2 linked regions of the Alligator mississippiensis genome follow. The protein of the gene in region 2 interacts with the protein of the main gene of each other region in a biochemical or structural test. Links are inferred from orthologs where the notes say so. Each region holds a gene or a part of one and is shown on either strand. Other genes may lie near its edges.

Evidence for each region.
Region 1: the proteins of TNKS2 (region 2) and LNPEP form a complex in vitro, tested with the Homo sapiens proteins (4 studies listed by BioGRID and IntAct, with this or other methods). The link is inferred for Alligator mississippiensis from reciprocal best matches to the Homo sapiens genes TNKS2 and LNPEP.

Annotation. Positions count from the first base shown.
Region 1 is NC_081826.1:238,312,047-238,320,249, forward strand, and holds the start of LNPEP (leucyl-cystinyl aminopeptidase), read right to left. Parts: upstream 3,110-8,203; 5' UTR 2,713-3,109; coding exon 2,694-2,712; intron 1-2,693. UniProt on the Homo sapiens protein: Release of an N-terminal amino acid, cleaves before cysteine, leucine as well as other amino acids. Degrades peptide hormones such as oxytocin, vasopressin and angiotensin III, and plays a role in maintaining homeostasis during pregnancy.
Region 2 is NC_081829.1:68,961,512-68,969,051, reverse strand, and holds the start of TNKS2 (poly [ADP-ribose] polymerase tankyrase-2), read right to left. Parts: upstream 3,237-7,540; 5' UTR 3,149-3,236; coding exon 2,953-3,148; intron 1-2,952. UniProt on the Homo sapiens protein: Poly-ADP-ribosyltransferase involved in various processes such as Wnt signaling pathway, telomere length and vesicle trafficking.

The sequences.
Region 1 (8,203 bases), on a different chromosome or scaffold from region 2:
ATTAAAGGAGGAAATAATTATTAAAGTCCAAATGTCACATGCTGCCCAAAGGGGCAACGAAAGTTTTGCAGAAAACTAAAGAGCAGGCTAGAATGTATTGTTCCTAGGCTTTGGTCAGTTTTCTCTTTTTTGCTGAAGCACAAAAACAATTTAAACTAAAAGTCTTTGGGGGAGAGATCATCTTTTTATTCTACATTCGTAAGGTGCACTGTGGGCCCCGGGCCACAATTAGGGATCAGAGATATCACAGGAATACAGACAGAAGCTAATGAAAATGGGAGTAGGTGGGGGTAGTTTGGTTTTCTTGTGATCATAATTATTATAGACTTAATGTTCAAGAGGTATGAAACTGCCAGCCCTAAAAACTGAAATCTGTGTTCAAAAAGCAGGCAGTGAGAGCTGCCCAAGTTACATAAAGTGTATATGTAGTTACTGAATTTAGTGGTAGCACATTTCACAAAACATAACAATGAAGGCCCATACGTGTTATAGACATACTTTTTAGTTTTCACCATTCAGGCCTGCATTCGTAGGAGAGAATTTGCACATTGACTCCAAGACCAAGGTTTCCTCCACACACTACGACTGCCCTCACCTCAAAGGCACATGTTCTAGCCTCTGCTAAGAAAGGAATAACATGGCTCCTCTATTAGCAAGAGATCACTTTTCAGCAGCATTCTCTGAGGCTACCACACCATGTCACTGAAAACTTCAAGAGCAGAGCTGAATTTAAACACAGGCCTCCTACTTTAATGCATTAACAATGAGTCCAAATCAAAAAATCTTTTAGTGTGATTATCAATTTTATACCAAATATTTCCCAACGTAAAAAGTTCCTATTAATCTATTATACAAAAAGAACTCCAACTCCCAAAATTTGTGTTACTGATCAATCTCATGGAAATGAAGATTTTTTTCCCTCATGTACAGAGTCTAGGGGGAAAAAAAGACAACTTAGATTTAATAACCACCAGAAAACTTATTATGAACATTTACATTTTTGGCCAGGAGCTAAGCACAAACTTCCTGTACAAGCTTTAATTACAAGGTAATAAAATTCAACAAGTGTTTCAAAGAACTTTTAGTGGGCCCTTCTTAAAAATAAAAAGGGGGAATTATGTTCAGAATTAACTAAATTAATCAGATTGCTAAACTTTGTAACATTCAAAGCTCTTTGTGCAAAGGCATGAGGCACTGGTGGGCTGGTGAAATTTTTCATAATGCTGACTAGAAAGTTTTCATAACATATGGGAATCCTTGAATTTCGCAGAAAAACTAATCTTATAGAATGATAAATCACTGAGAAACTGATGCACAATAAAGAGCCTTCTGGCTGGAGTTTCAGCTCCCACTCTTTAACTGAATTATTTCCATAATTTAATTGAACAAGATCCTAACCACACCATTAAAAATGCTGCAAGATTTTTAATAGGAAGAAGACTTGCAACTGGCGTCCTGTCCTAATTCTGTATTAGGCTATAACCTGCTGTCTAACCAAATTCCCTTCTGCATGAATATGACAGGGTCATTTCACTTCCTTTTCTGTCAGGAGCAGATGTGGAGTCTTGCTGTTAAGACATTACTGCTAAATTTCACCTCAGACATGGCTGCATTTAACAGAGGAAGTGGTGATCTCTATAGAGATTCCTGTTTCACAAAAGTGAGGTTTAATTGACATTATACTAAAATGCCTTCATGTCCCCAATGCAAAGGCACAGCAGAAGTGCAAACCAGGGCACAAATAACTGCAAAGGAACACTAGGAAAACCAGTTACTGTTCCCTTTTTTTCTTTTTCTTTTTTAAACAATCTGCTCTTATTTTTTTTTTTTTTTTACTTCTCCCCTTATTTTGGACACTGAGATCACAAAACCTTGTGACATGTACATGTGCCAAAGCAGATATAGGCAGGGGGTAGAGGGTGTGCATGCATTAACTAAAGTAGATATAGGTGTGTGGGGGGGGGGAGTGTACACACACACATTAACTAAAGTAGATATAGGTAGGGGGGGTTGTATTAATCGAAGTGTGTGTGGGGTGGGCGGTAGATCAATCAATCTTTGTGGACTTCTCCCATCCTTAGTAATTGAGAGATGTAGTCAGCTGTGTTAGACTGAAGTCAAGTAAAAGGCAAGGTAGATTTGTACCTTATAGACGTAACCAAAGTAAATACATATATGTAGATGCACACACGTGCATACACATATATAGGCATACGTACAATATGCATGTGTCCGTATATATATGTACACATTATAGACCAACCAAAGTAGATTGTACACACACACACTAGTACACATGTATTACAATACATACAAATCTACTCTGGTTAGTCTACAAGGTGTCCTTGTATGTGTATACATATACACAGACATGCACATCTGCACGCACACGTATGAATGCGTCTGTAGACTAACCGAAGTGGGCAGGGTGCACATGTACGTGTCTCTACCCATGTCTAGGTACACGCGTAGTGCAGAGGCACATGCTCCGGGCACGTGTGTGTCCCCCCCCGGCCCGGCCCGGCCCGGCCCCAGAGCCCGCGGGAACAAGCGGGCGCCCCAGGCCCCGCGGCCGCTCCCGCCCGGCCCGGCCCGGCCCGGCCCGGCCCGGCCCGACCCGGCCCCGCCCCCGCCCCCGCCCCGCTCCCCGCGGCTGCTCCGCAACTTTGTTGTGGGGGCCGGCGCCGACTCACCGCTGGGGAAGGGCTCCATGTCCCCGGCGGAGCCGCGGCGGAAGGCAGCGCCGAGACGCGCAGCTGCAGCGTTCACTGCTCCCCGCGCCGCCGCCGCCGCATGCTCCCGGGCCCCACTGGGCCAGCCCAGGCGCTGCCGCTCCCGCCCGTCGCCCTGCGCAAGGACCCCGCTCAGCGGCGGCGCCTCGGCGGTGATGAGCCCCGAGCGACCATTTTCTGCTGCCCGGCCTCCGCCTCCGCCGCCGCCGCCGCTCACTCCTCCCCTGCCAGCGCTGGGCTGGGCTGGGCCGGGCAGGGCCGGGCCGGGCTGCGCTGCGACCGCCTCACAACCTCCGCCTCCTCCTGCTGCCGCTGCCAGATCCGGCGGCTGCTTTCTCTCCTCCCCCCGCGGGTCAAAGCCTTGAAACCTTCCCTCGCAAAGTTTCTTCTCCAGCCGTGCTTGACACCTTCCTCCCGCGGGGCCGTGTCTGACGCAGTGAGACCGCCTCATAAACGCGCCTTTGCAGTCATAGAGCCGCAGACAATGAGGGCTGGAGCCGGGGACCCCCGGAGGTCACCTCGCCCTCCAAGCAGGACCATCCCCGCCTGTATCATCCCAGCCAGGGCTTTGTCTACCCGGCTCTTAAAAACCTCCAAAGATGTTGGCACTGCAAGAGGATCTCTTAGCACCCACCACAAGGATCCCCCCTTCCAAGCAGAGAATGGCTCACTTCTAATCCTAGTAAATCTCCAGGGCCCTGATGGACCTGAGCAAAGACTCGTGCAGGGTGCATAGCTTCCCTCAGGCCAGCAGTGAGCTCCAAGGAAATGCCTGAAGATTAATTATTCCCTGCAGGCCTCCTGAGGGCACGACAAGTGCCACCCTAACCTAAACAGCCCAGGCAGAAGCAGCCATCGCTAGTTTTGGCAGGTTTAATTTAAGCCGCCTGGTGGTTTTCTGGCAGGCACGCTTCATGGGAGTCATGCCCTCCCAAGAATCTGCTTTTGGAAAAGAAGGGAAGGGAACAGAAGTTAATGGGTGCAAAGAAGAAGCTGACAGGTGAACAGCAGAGACTCCCTGTACCTGAAGAAGGGCGATTGCACCCAAAAGCTTGCTGAGAACTTTTTCCAACTACTCAGTTGGGCTCATAAAAGATGTCACATCTAATGAAAGCACCTCGCCTGACAAGTGATTCCACATTGTCCTGGAAGGGTTCAGAAGGCAAGGAGGCAGGAGTCCCAACCTCGCTTATTCATTCATTGATTTATTTAAACTTCAGTTTTCAACCTTATTCTTTTATTTATTTATTTTTAAATATGAAGGACAATGAATGCTTGGGTTTCACAGAATCAGAGAAGTAAGGCTAGAAGGGACCTCCAGAGGTCATCTTGTCCAAACCCCAGCATGAAGCAGGATCATCCCTAGCCGAACCATCCCATACAATCCATAATTTAAATTCTGCATAAGAGTAACGTCAACCCTGACACAACGTAGACCTAACACCCTAACCTGCCACAGGGAAAGCAGGGGAACCAGGACAGCCAAGGTCCTGCTTCTGTGAAACGTCACCAATATATGCTCAAGAGATCCTGTGTAAAGGGCCGCACCCCCTGCTACGGAGGAAGGCAAAAATCCCTACAGGCCATATCAATTTGGCCATGGGATAAAATGACTTCCTGACTCCAAATATGATGATTAGTCTGACCCTGAGCAGCATTGACACACCTCAGTCACACACTGTAGCCAGCCCCCAATGCTTAAAAGCCCCCTGATACATGTGGCACAAAAGGGGCAAAGCCCAGAAGCATGGGAAATACCCATGGTAGAACATCGGCATCTCTATGCCTAGATCATCCCTGAACAGTGCCTATCCAACCTCTTGAACACCTCCAACGATGGAGAGTTCACAACTTCCCTAGGCAGTCTATTCCACAGCCTCACTATTCTAACAGTAAAGGCATTTTTCTGGATATCCGATCCTAAGAAAAATCCAGAATACCATAGCTAGCCAAAATGAAACTGCAGGATGGACTTTGGTTCAGATCCCAACCCCCCCAACCAAAAAAAAAAAAAAAAAAAGGACTTAGGTGCCTTTTTTCCACCCAAGTCCAAATCTGAAAACTCCTGCTCAGCTGCTGCCTAACCCAAGAGATTCCTCAGTCCCAAAACTACTTGTTTTTGTTGTTAAAGCTCCTCAGGTCCCTGGAGGCCTGCCTTCTGTTTATGCCCAGGAGCACCTCAGTTTTGGCAGGCTGGAGTAACTCAGTGCTTACTCCATGCCTTACAGACTGGAAATAAGGCATTCCCTTTCTCATCTTCCCTGAGATGTTTGCTGGGTGTACGTTCTAAGAGCATGGCCAATGCACTGAGCTGCACAGAACTCAGAGATGTATTACTACCATCTCCCCACTTTTATGCATAGATCAGTGGTTAGAGCCCTCACACAGGTTATGGGGTGACCCAGATCCAATCTGTCTTGTGCCTGAGGTAGCCCACACCCACCACTCTCAGAATCCTAGTCATTAGGCTATAAGCTGTTGTGGGGGAGAAGGTCCACACAACTTTTTCAAGCTGTCTCACTTTCCAAAAAAAGAAATCCAGATTTACTAAGCCAGAGAGAAAGAGAGAGACAGAGAGACAGAGAGAAAGCATGGTTCTCTAATCCAGTGTTTCTCAACCCATGGGTCATGACCCAAAAGTGGGTTGCAAGAATATATGAAAGGGTCATGAACAAACTTTAAAAATGAATCAAAAATTGATTCTCCTTTAAAGGAGAAAAACGTGGGAAACTGGCTTTTCCCTTACGGGCCATCAGAGTTCCAGTCTGCAAGAGGTTGCTTGAGGCCCCCTGCCCAACATCCCTGCCCCACATGCCCACCCCCTGCCCCACACACTGTGGAGCAGGGAGCAGTGGGTTGGGTCATGACTGGCCATCAGTGTTTACAAATGGGTCCTGGTACAAAAAAGGTTGAGAACCAGTGTTTAGAGCACTTATTTGGGTTGCAGTCCATGCTTCAAGAACTGTTTACACATATATTGTTTCATGCAAAGTGCTGGACCCCCTTCTCTTAGGTGAGTGCCCTAGATCCTATTCTAAATCACCTAACTCCCTTTTGCATTGTGTAGAGAGCCTAAGCACCTTGAGAGTCTAGATTTCACTGTCAGGGTTCAGGTCTCTAAGGTTGTGCAATGCTCATCAGTATAGTATTTAAATCTCTTACTGGATCTAGCCCTTAGTTACCAAAGTTACCATTTAATCTTAGGGGTGAGACTCCTAATTATGCAAAGTGTAATAAGAGTTTTAATGGCTTTAGTGATCAAAAGGTCGCTTTTATGTCTTGTAAATGTGGCACCTCCCGCAATAAGGAGCCATGTGTGTCTGAATGAGGCACTGGCTCTGCTGTGACTTGAAAACAAGAGTGCTCTGTTAGAGTAAATCAAGCAACACCACTTTTCTCAATACCTGGAATTTCCTTAAAGGTTTCCTCTCTAAGTAGTAACTTTGCTGGGATATTGCACTATCTCATACAGAAACTTCATAGAAGATGAACGGGGTTGCCCTGTTACTTCTTTCATTTTCAGAACTTTGTAAACAAGTCTTGAAATACCATTTTCCCTTCAAAATTTGCTATTAGCATCAAACATCCCTATGAGGCAGGTGACTCAAATTAAGGACTGGCTACCGAAATTGATATCCCTGGTTGTCCCATCCAAATCAGTTTCCCAAGAGGTCAGTAGGACTACTCAGCTGCATAAATGACAGCACTGAGCATGTTTGCAGTGGTACCTCCTCACAGCTGAACAAAATTATGATGATGATAACACACAACTATGTTGGGGTCATTCGTTTAAAAGCTACAATTAAGGAATATAAAGTCCAGGCCTCTTTAAAGATACAGGATTATGCTGAAAAAAAATGGTCAAAGGATGGCTTATGTTTGTAGAACACCTGGCATTGTGAGACTGCTCTCTGGCCTCTACCTTGTGACCAACATAGTAAGAAGATTTAACAATATGTCATAAACTACAGTGCTAGTGGAACAGTAAAGTTGTTGCCATGACATTCCATAAATCAGCAACCTGATGAATGTCTTGCATTTGAAAGTTTGTCTAACTCAGGGGCTGGCAATTATTTCAGGCAGAGAGCTACTTACCCAATTTTGGCAAGCTGTCAAGGGCTGCATGGGTTGCCCTTGACAGGTGCCCTGCCCCCTGGTCACCATCTTAGGACCAATGTCTCAATGTCTTGGGACCAATGTCTCAGGGCCAGCACCGGTGGGGCCCAGAGTAGGGCGCAGGCTGGCAGGGGTCTGTGGAGATAGGCTGGGCTGCACCAGCAGGGAGAGGGGGAGTTGACCAGGCTCCATAGAGCCCCTCCCAGCCAGGACCCTGTACCCCTGCCACCCTGCTCTGAGCCCTGGCAGTGCTGTCCCTGGGACACTGGTGTGGGCCCCGTGCACCCACTCACACCCAGTGTCCCCCCAGCCCTGCGGTACAGGCAGGGGGCAGCATGCAGCTCTGACCCCATGCTCACCGGCAGGGAAGGAGCTGGTGCTGTGTGTGGGAAAAAGCGGCCCCTCACCCGCCCCGTGGCCGGCGCTCCCTGCAGCAGCCCCTCGCAGCCCGCATGGGGCTGTCCTGAGCAGGCACAGCCAGCCCTGCATGGGCTGCGAGCGGCTGCAGCATGCGGCACCGGGCATGGGGCAGGCGAGGGGCCACTTTTCCTGCACTCAGCACCAGCTTGTAACCTGCCCCCACTGCCAGCCTGGGACCCGCGCCAGCTCTGGGCTCGCCTGTCAGGGCTGCACGTGGTGGGAGCAGCTGCAGCCCTCCTCACTTGTCATGCTGGGCAGCGTTTGCCACCGCTGCCTCTGGCCTGCCCAGTGTGCAAGCTCCAGGTAGGCAGCAGCAGCAAACTGCCCTGGGGGGGCCACAGCTGCTGCCACCATGTGCAGCCCCGATGGGTGAACCCAGAGCCGGCACAAGGTTCAGGCTGGCAGCAGGGCCGGGTTACAAGCTGGTGCTGAGGGAGGAAAAAGTGGCCCCTCGCCCATGCCGTGGCCAGCACCCCACGCTGCAGCTGCTAACAGCCCATGTGGGGCTGCCTGTGCCTGCTCAGGACAGCCCCACATGGGCTGCGAGCAACTGCAGCAGGGAGTGCCAGACACAGGGCGGGTGAGGGACCTCTTTTCCCCAGGAACCTTCCTGCCTGGGGTCCTCTCCCCTCATCCCCCCTCTTCCTGAGGTTCTGGTGCGGTGCAGTCAGACAGTCCCAAGCCAGAAGCCCCTGCTGGGGCTTCCAGCTGTGGGGGTGGGGCCGGGCAGGCCCTGCTGTTGCAGGAGCCTGCTGGGCTTCCCCTGGGTCCTACTGCCCCTTCTTCATGTCATTTTTAGCAGGAACCAAGGACAGATAAATATTAATTTTCTAAATTTTTTAGGGGCCCTGCAGGCTGGATAGAATGGCCTCGCGGGCCCAATCTGGCCCGCGGGCCATATTTTGCCCACCCCTGGTCTAACTCTATCCCAACTA
Region 2 (7,540 bases):
CGGCTTGGAGAGCAGGATCTGACTGATAAGTCTGTTGTGAGAAGGGAAGAGGTGTGGGGAGCGGCAAATTGAGGCCCCTGCAGTAGGGAGGGACTGGGGCAGGCATTGCACAGCCAGTGGGGGGCGTGGGATGAGTCATGAGTGGCTTGACCAGGGGGAGAGGCTCCTGCCACTGCACGCATCCTGGGAGGTCATGGGGGGCATGTTCCCCTGGATCTGCGTGTGGGGCGAAGGCAGGCTGCTGCTGTGGACTGGGGCAGTGCTAGGCTATCCCTGGCAGGGGTGTTGGGCAGGGCTGGGCTCGGGGCAGGCGGCAGCAGTGCTGGGAGGGGGGCTATGGCAAATTCTGGGGTGGCTGCAGCAGCCTTCCCCCTGCAGCCCCTTCCCAATGCCACTGCCACCTGTCCCAAGCGCAGCCTGGCTCTGCTCCCCTCCCAGGAAGAGCCTGGCACCACCCCAGTCCCAGCCTGCAGCAGCAGCCTGCACTTGTCCTGAACACAGGTCACATGCCCCCACAGATGGGTGCAGGGCAGAAGCTGCTTCCCCCTCCCCCTGCTGAACAGTGCCTGCCCTTGCCCCACTCCCTCCCTCACCCTGGGGGCCTCAATCTGCCCCTCCCTAAGCCCCTTCCCTCCCGGCACACCAGACGTACCAGCCTGATGCTGGTGTCCAAGCTGCCCAGCTGCATATCAGAATTGGATCAGTATTGGCTGATACGGCTCCTTAAAAGAAGATTAAATTTGGCCATTGGTACTGGCCCAAAAAATCTCTATCAGTGCACCCACAGTTTTGTGGTACTTATTCCTGACTCTGGAGCCACTTGCAAGACCAAATATTGGAGTTCACATATTGAGTCAGAGACAGGCCTTCTTTCCTTTCCTATCCTCTCCATTATTGTGAGAAACATTCCACTGCAGAACAGCCAAGAGATGCCTCTACCACCCTTTTTTCCAGCTATGACAACTAAGCTTATTGTGTAGATTCCTGTGACTTAACTCCTAGATCTTCCTTGGGATTTGAAATGGTTTCTCTAGCCTTTCTGCATTGAGTTAATAGCCCTTCTACTTACGTTTGTAAGTAGTGTGTTCTTTTGTGTAGTTACCGTAGATGAACAGAGTTTCTGTAAAAAAATTTTATTCACAGGAACAGCATCTAGTTACCATAAACCCCACCAACTCTCTATTGTACTTTTTGGTTGACATGCTCCTTGTCTGCCTGTGTGACATGAAATCTGTTTTTGACAGCTAGATACCACTACCTTTCTGCACAGGGATTGACCAACAGTCTATTTAACCTTCAATACAACTTAATGGCCAGAGGTGCACTTCTGCCGCATACTACAGAGTCCAGATTAATCTTCAACCAGATCCTACTGTCACCGTCTTTCTATCATTATTATGTGTGCTTTAAAATCCACTTTATAAAGTGTCTCTCGTATCAGGAAGAAGACTGGAAATTGCTTTTATTTAAGGACTGCGAGAGAATTCAACAATGTCTGCCCAAAAAAGTTAAAAAAAACCCAAAACAAAACCAAACAAACAAGGACACCTAAGTTGCAATGCAAGGACACAAACCAATTCAAACAGTTCCTTGTGCTGTGGCTTCACCTCTGCGTCAAAGCAATAGTCTATAAAGGCGAACAGATTTCTCTAGAAGAGAATTAAACCAACAAAATTTTCCCAGCACATGCTCTAGAAATGAAAGTACACACCCAAGCTTATTAATAATCGTTTTGCAGTGAATAAGACAGCAGAGCCTTTGTTACCACTTCCTGGAAGGTTTCTCTATCTTCTATAACCTAGTAATCCCTCCAGAGACAGAAAACTGAAGGAGCAGTACTTAATAATATTCAAACCTTAACCAAGGGAACAAAACACAAATTAAAACTAGTGTTCTATATTATATTATAGTCTTGATTTTATTATAGTTCAGGTCACTGTAGAAAAGGCCCAACTCCAGCAGTGGAAGTCAATCTTAACAAGAGACTGGCAGCTCTATCAGATTTTATCAAAGTCTAGCAGGCTGAGCTGTCCTAGGAGGGAAATCATCAGTAACCTCCTTGTAACGCAACTGTATCCAGTAATGAAAGGGATGAGTATAGTCAATTAAGTGACCGCTCAGCGTCTTTACTGCCTAGTGGCACACATCCCCTGTGCCTCTCTCTGTTTAGAATCTAAACTAATGCAACAAGGGTTTTATTTTTCAGATGTAAGAGTTTTCAATTTCCATTTTGCAAACCCAAGCAGGATGATTCTTTTGCTCATGCAGGCATTTAAATGGTACTGTTTTACATGACTACCTCCTCAGAGCTTCGATTTTTCTGTTATCACCTCCATAATGTGCAACAGATGAATAAAGATTTTTGATTAATAATAAAAAACCTTGATGAGTGAAGAATTAAGGGATTGAAAGCAAACAAGTGGGTGCCCGGCTTAATTAAAGGAAAACATTCTCAAGGAAGAATGATTTGAATCAGCTAGCGGGGCACCCTGCTCATGAACACATGGCTCCACGGACTTAAAAAGCCGACTGATCACTTTGGAGGTCAGGATGGAAACCACCCGTCTCAGAAGACGGCAGCCGTGGGGGCTTTTTGTGGGCTAATGCACCTGGGTGCAAACTTCTGAATAAAAGCACTGGGGCCAAGACACTGCTCAACCAGTGCAGGGCCGGTATTTGTGAGGCCCTGCGCTGCGTACAGCACCTTGCTCCCAGGTCCTGTGGCGCGACGCTCTACCCCGCCGTGACCCCCCGGCAGAGACTAGAAGTCGCCCGTGCCAAGCAGCTGGTCCCAGTTACGTGGCTGCCAAAGACCACTCGTGTCCCAGCGCTCGGGGACACCCTGGTGCCGCCTGCCGGGGGCGGCGGTGGCGGCGATGTCGCGGTGCAGGGCCGGCCCAGGCGCGAGGCGGGGCGGGGCAGCCCGGCGGGAGGCAGCGGGCCCGGCCGTACCTGCGGCGAAGTGCAGCGGGCTGGACTTCCTGCCCGCCGTGTCGCGGCTGTTCACGTTGTCGGGCCGCACCAGGCGCTTGACGCGCTCCACGTCCCCGTTGCGGCAGGCCTCGAACAGCTCCCGCGCCGGCTCCGCGCCCCCGCAACCCGGCGCCTCAGCCAGCGCCGCCCCGCCCGCGCACCGCCGCCCCGCCATGCCCGGCCCGGCCCCGGGGCAGCGGCGCGGAAGCCTCCGAGCGGGCGACACGGCCACTGCCTCCCTGCAGCTCCCGGCGGCCGAGAAGGCCCGGCGCGCAGGCGCACTGACAGCGCCGCGGAAGTGGGGGAGAACGAGCGCGAGACCAACGTGCGCGCGGCGCATGCGCTGTCCCGCCGGGCTCCGCTCGGGGGCTTTGGCCTCTGCCCTGCAGGGCCGCGGGCGCTCTCGGGCGCCCCCTGCAGGGTCTGGGTGGCGCCGCGTGTCCCCCTCCCTGTCCCGGGCACTCCCGGCCGTCCTAGACCGGGGAGCTCGTGGGGGCGGGGCCGGAGGCGTCCGCGTTCATGGTGGATCTCGGTCCCTGTCCCGGCAGCACACGGTCACCATGAGCGTGGCTTGTAACAGTGTGCTGGGTTTTGTTTCCATGCAATAGAAGTTTTGCTGCTTTAATTATGCCAATAGCGTGAGTGGTGGGAGTAATGCAGCACCAGTATAAAAGTCCCCCAAATTAGGGCACCAGTGTAACTGCACTGGGGCTTTTACTGGTACAGGTGTGCCAGAAAAACCTCATGTTCTTGACCAACTCTTAGACTAGTAAAATGCTGGGGTGTAGAGCAGCCCGTAGGCTAGGTGCACAGGGCAGGCGGCCACCAAGACTGATTACCAGTGAATGGATCCAACTGCCCAAGCAAAGGAGCAGCCAATGTACAGGACAGTGTCCTGGGCAAAACCAGCCCAGAGGCCCTGGAGACTTTACATCTGATCCCTGGGATATAGCTATTGAATGCTGTGGGCATTAGGCTCATACTCCAAAGAAATTGGGGGTTGCTTAAATGTTGCTGCTTTGAGGGTGTGACGGACAGAGAGGCTAGAAAAATATCATTTGCATTGCAGGATCAGTGTCCCGGCACAGCTGATCTGATTTGACAGGTAGAGACATCACCTGAAGATGTCCTGTAGGGTCAGGCCCCTCCAGGGTCTGCAGGGGCCCAATCCTGGTTCCCAGGTGCGATGTGGAGTGGAGAACCCAATGGGATTCCCTTGCTCTGCAGCATGAAACATGCCCCAGAATCCCCTGCAAGAGAATTCCCTTGATGTGCTTGCAGCCATGTGCCGTAGGGTGAAGAGGGGGCTATGACTGCGATGGAAGCAGTGGCTTGTGGGAAGCGTGGGTTCCCTGTCATTTCATATTGCTGGGGTTGGGCTTTCAGACACCCTTTGCAATGTCCCTGGGCAAACAGTTACCACATTTTTTGTGGCAGCAGATTTTGGGTTTTGTCTCAGACACTGGAAGCGGGGGACCAAGTACTCCCTGAAGGGCCCAGCCAGCAGCCTGCACCCAGGGGCATGTCTGTCCGTCCCCGCCCCTCCCCCCCACCAAAAAAAAAAAAAATCAGTACTCCACTGGATGCCTGTTTCTACCCAGAGAGGAAATATGAGTTTGTTAAGAGAATATAAAATTGGTTCTGTCTCATCTTGTAAGTCAGCAGTAAGCATATTTAGCTGGGATTACTATGAATTTTAAGACTCAGTATGACCAAGTAGTGTTTTAAGGTAAAAATAGTTAGTTTTACAAAGTTTGTCGGTCAATATCACTTGTCATAGGTCACCAAAAGGAGGGAATCTTGGTGCCTGAAACTAAGTCAGATCTCCAGAGTGATAAATGGCTTATATATTGGGCACGTCTATGTGAGATGTTTACTAGGGAGTTGCCTAATGAGCTCTGCAGTGAATGTCTCGGTGTCTACACATATGGCCCTATTAGGTCATAGGAAACTAATACACTCCACAGCAGGTTAGTACTTGTAAATACAAGTGTGGAGTTTTTTCATGCACAGCAATGCATGTGTAGATGCTGATGGAGCTGGCTGGGTCAATAGAGTGCTTCAGTGTGTGGGCTGCCTACCAGCTATCCTTGCACTGAAGCACCCTTGTGCCGCAGCCAGCCCTTCCACAGCAAGTTGAGCTAGGTTGGAGTAGCCACAGGCTGGCAGGCTGACCCCCCCAGGGCCTCCTGCCAATCAGGCTGCTCTGACCAGGCTCGATGTGCTACAGTCCTGGGTGCACATGTAATTGCAGCACTCACGAGCAATAAACTCTGGCATGATATGCACTGGAGTTTATTGTGTTGCATTAATTGGCACATGTAGATGCGCCCATTGGGTAGCATATACTACTGGAATAGAAGCATAAAAATAATGATATTTCTCCCAGAAACAAATCAGGGCAAGTGTTCCAGCACCTGAGGGGCAGTTCTTAAGGACAAAGAAGAGAGGAAGGTGCAGCTAGCCCTGCAACTGTGACCAAGGTCCATTAATTTGTGAGGGCATGGACACATACTAACACTTAGAATATGGCTGAAAGTGAAGTGGACAGACATATAAGCCAACTACACCAGTTTAAATATGTCTGGTAGGCTGTCAATAGACATCTAATTTGACATGGATCTGGTTGTCTCAGAGTTTGGCCCAGATCAAAACAAGTGTGGCACAGCCATTTACACGTCACCCTTCCAAGATTTATTGCTGCTCCTTAGAGACATAAATTACCATGTCAGGAAAAAGCATTAGCACATTTTATCCTGAATATTTCAGAGGCATTTGAAGTGCAACAATGAACTTAGCAGACAAGGTTCTTTAGGTAAATGTGATATCTTTTATTAGACCAAATAAATAGTTGGAAAAATTATTCTTTGCAAGCTTTCAGGCAAAAACATCCTTCAGGCCTAGGGAGAATCTGCTGTTACTTTGTGTTCTCCTGGATGGAATAGAAGCTGATATACAAAATGCAAGTCTGTGAAAATTCAAATACATGGCAGTGAGGATCAGAAGCCATGGGATGGTAGGTTCTGGAATATGAAACAATTATTTGGCCATTTTCTGACTTCTGAAAAAGAAGTGGCAGAGGGAGAGGTGAGAGCTGTGAATGGGAGCAGTAGATACAGTTGCTTTTGATAGGTTTGAGATAGGTGGGTGGGTGAGTAATGTTGACAGATATACAGTGAACTTAACATCTGTTAGATCCTGGGAAAAAAGGCTTTCTCCCAGGACAAATGCAATGTTTATTTGTAGTCAAACAGTTTAAAAGTGTAACTGGAAAATCAAGTACTATTTTGAACCAGTTCACTGTGAACCAGTTCAGTTTTATGGGGAGCACTTTAGACAATGCTTAGCTGCTGGCCCAATGGTTGGAGTATTTTGCTGGGAAGCAGGAGACATGTTCAAACCCCTTGGGCTGATATAACTCAAATCTGCTCCTTCACAAAGTGCCTTGACCTCTAGGCTACTGGGCTAAAAGGAGAGGGGGCAGCCCTCCTAAACACTTCCAGAAGGTAAACATGCAGGGCAATCCTATTTTCAAGGGATGAAAACAGAATCCCAAAGTGTGCGTAAGGGGCAACAACTCCACCAACATGACTACTTATGTGCCACTTGGGCACATGAAAAGGAAATAAGACTTAACATACAGATTTTACAACAAAAGGTGATCTTTGAGAAGAAAGTCTACTACAATCTTTACAACATGGCAGCTATGAATGCTCCCTTATTTAGGGACCGAAATAAGTGGCTTCAAAAGTGCTGAGCCATTGAAGTCAATATGTATATTACCTCACAAGGCTATATGATGGAATTTAATACCACAGGCATTTCTCAGTAGCACAGTCTACACGACACTATTTTATTTTGTGGGGGGGGGGGGTATGCTTTTCTGAAAATGTAATGAAAAAGTTAAAAATAGATTAAAAAACTAGCAGTCTCTTAAAATGTTATGACCTTTTAGATCTAAGATAAAAAACATTTAAACTACATCATGAACATGTCTACATGAGATGCTGACTGCGCAGTAGCCTAATAATACTGCACAGTAGCGTGTCACAGCACAGACAATGCTAATATGTTAGTGTGCAGTATTATTAAAAGACATGCACCGATGCTACTGTACAGTAACTCTAGTTACTATATATTTATTCGGTACTTGCTTATACAAGTACTAAATAAATATGCAGTAACCACTTCGTAGTAGTTGTCTTGTGTAGATGAGCCCAGTTATACTAAAAAGCACCGCTGTTACAAGTTACTTGTGCTTCTGCAAGGCTCTGCAGCAGCTGGAATATGGAACTGCATCATGGTTCACTTTTCTCTGAGAACCTGCAGTAACTGGAATGAAGGGGAGAAAGTAAGTTTTAAATTCATATGTAGTAGGAGCTTGATTCTTTAAGGTGTGGAATGTAATCGACTCTCACTGAGGTGAATGAGTCAAAACCTCAGCAACTTGAAGGACCAGTCCATTAATATCTCCTCATTCTGACTTTTTTCACACTTATTGTAGAACACCCAAATCCAGAAAAACAGCTAAAGTTTTAGCTTTCATTTATTAACCACATCTCAAATT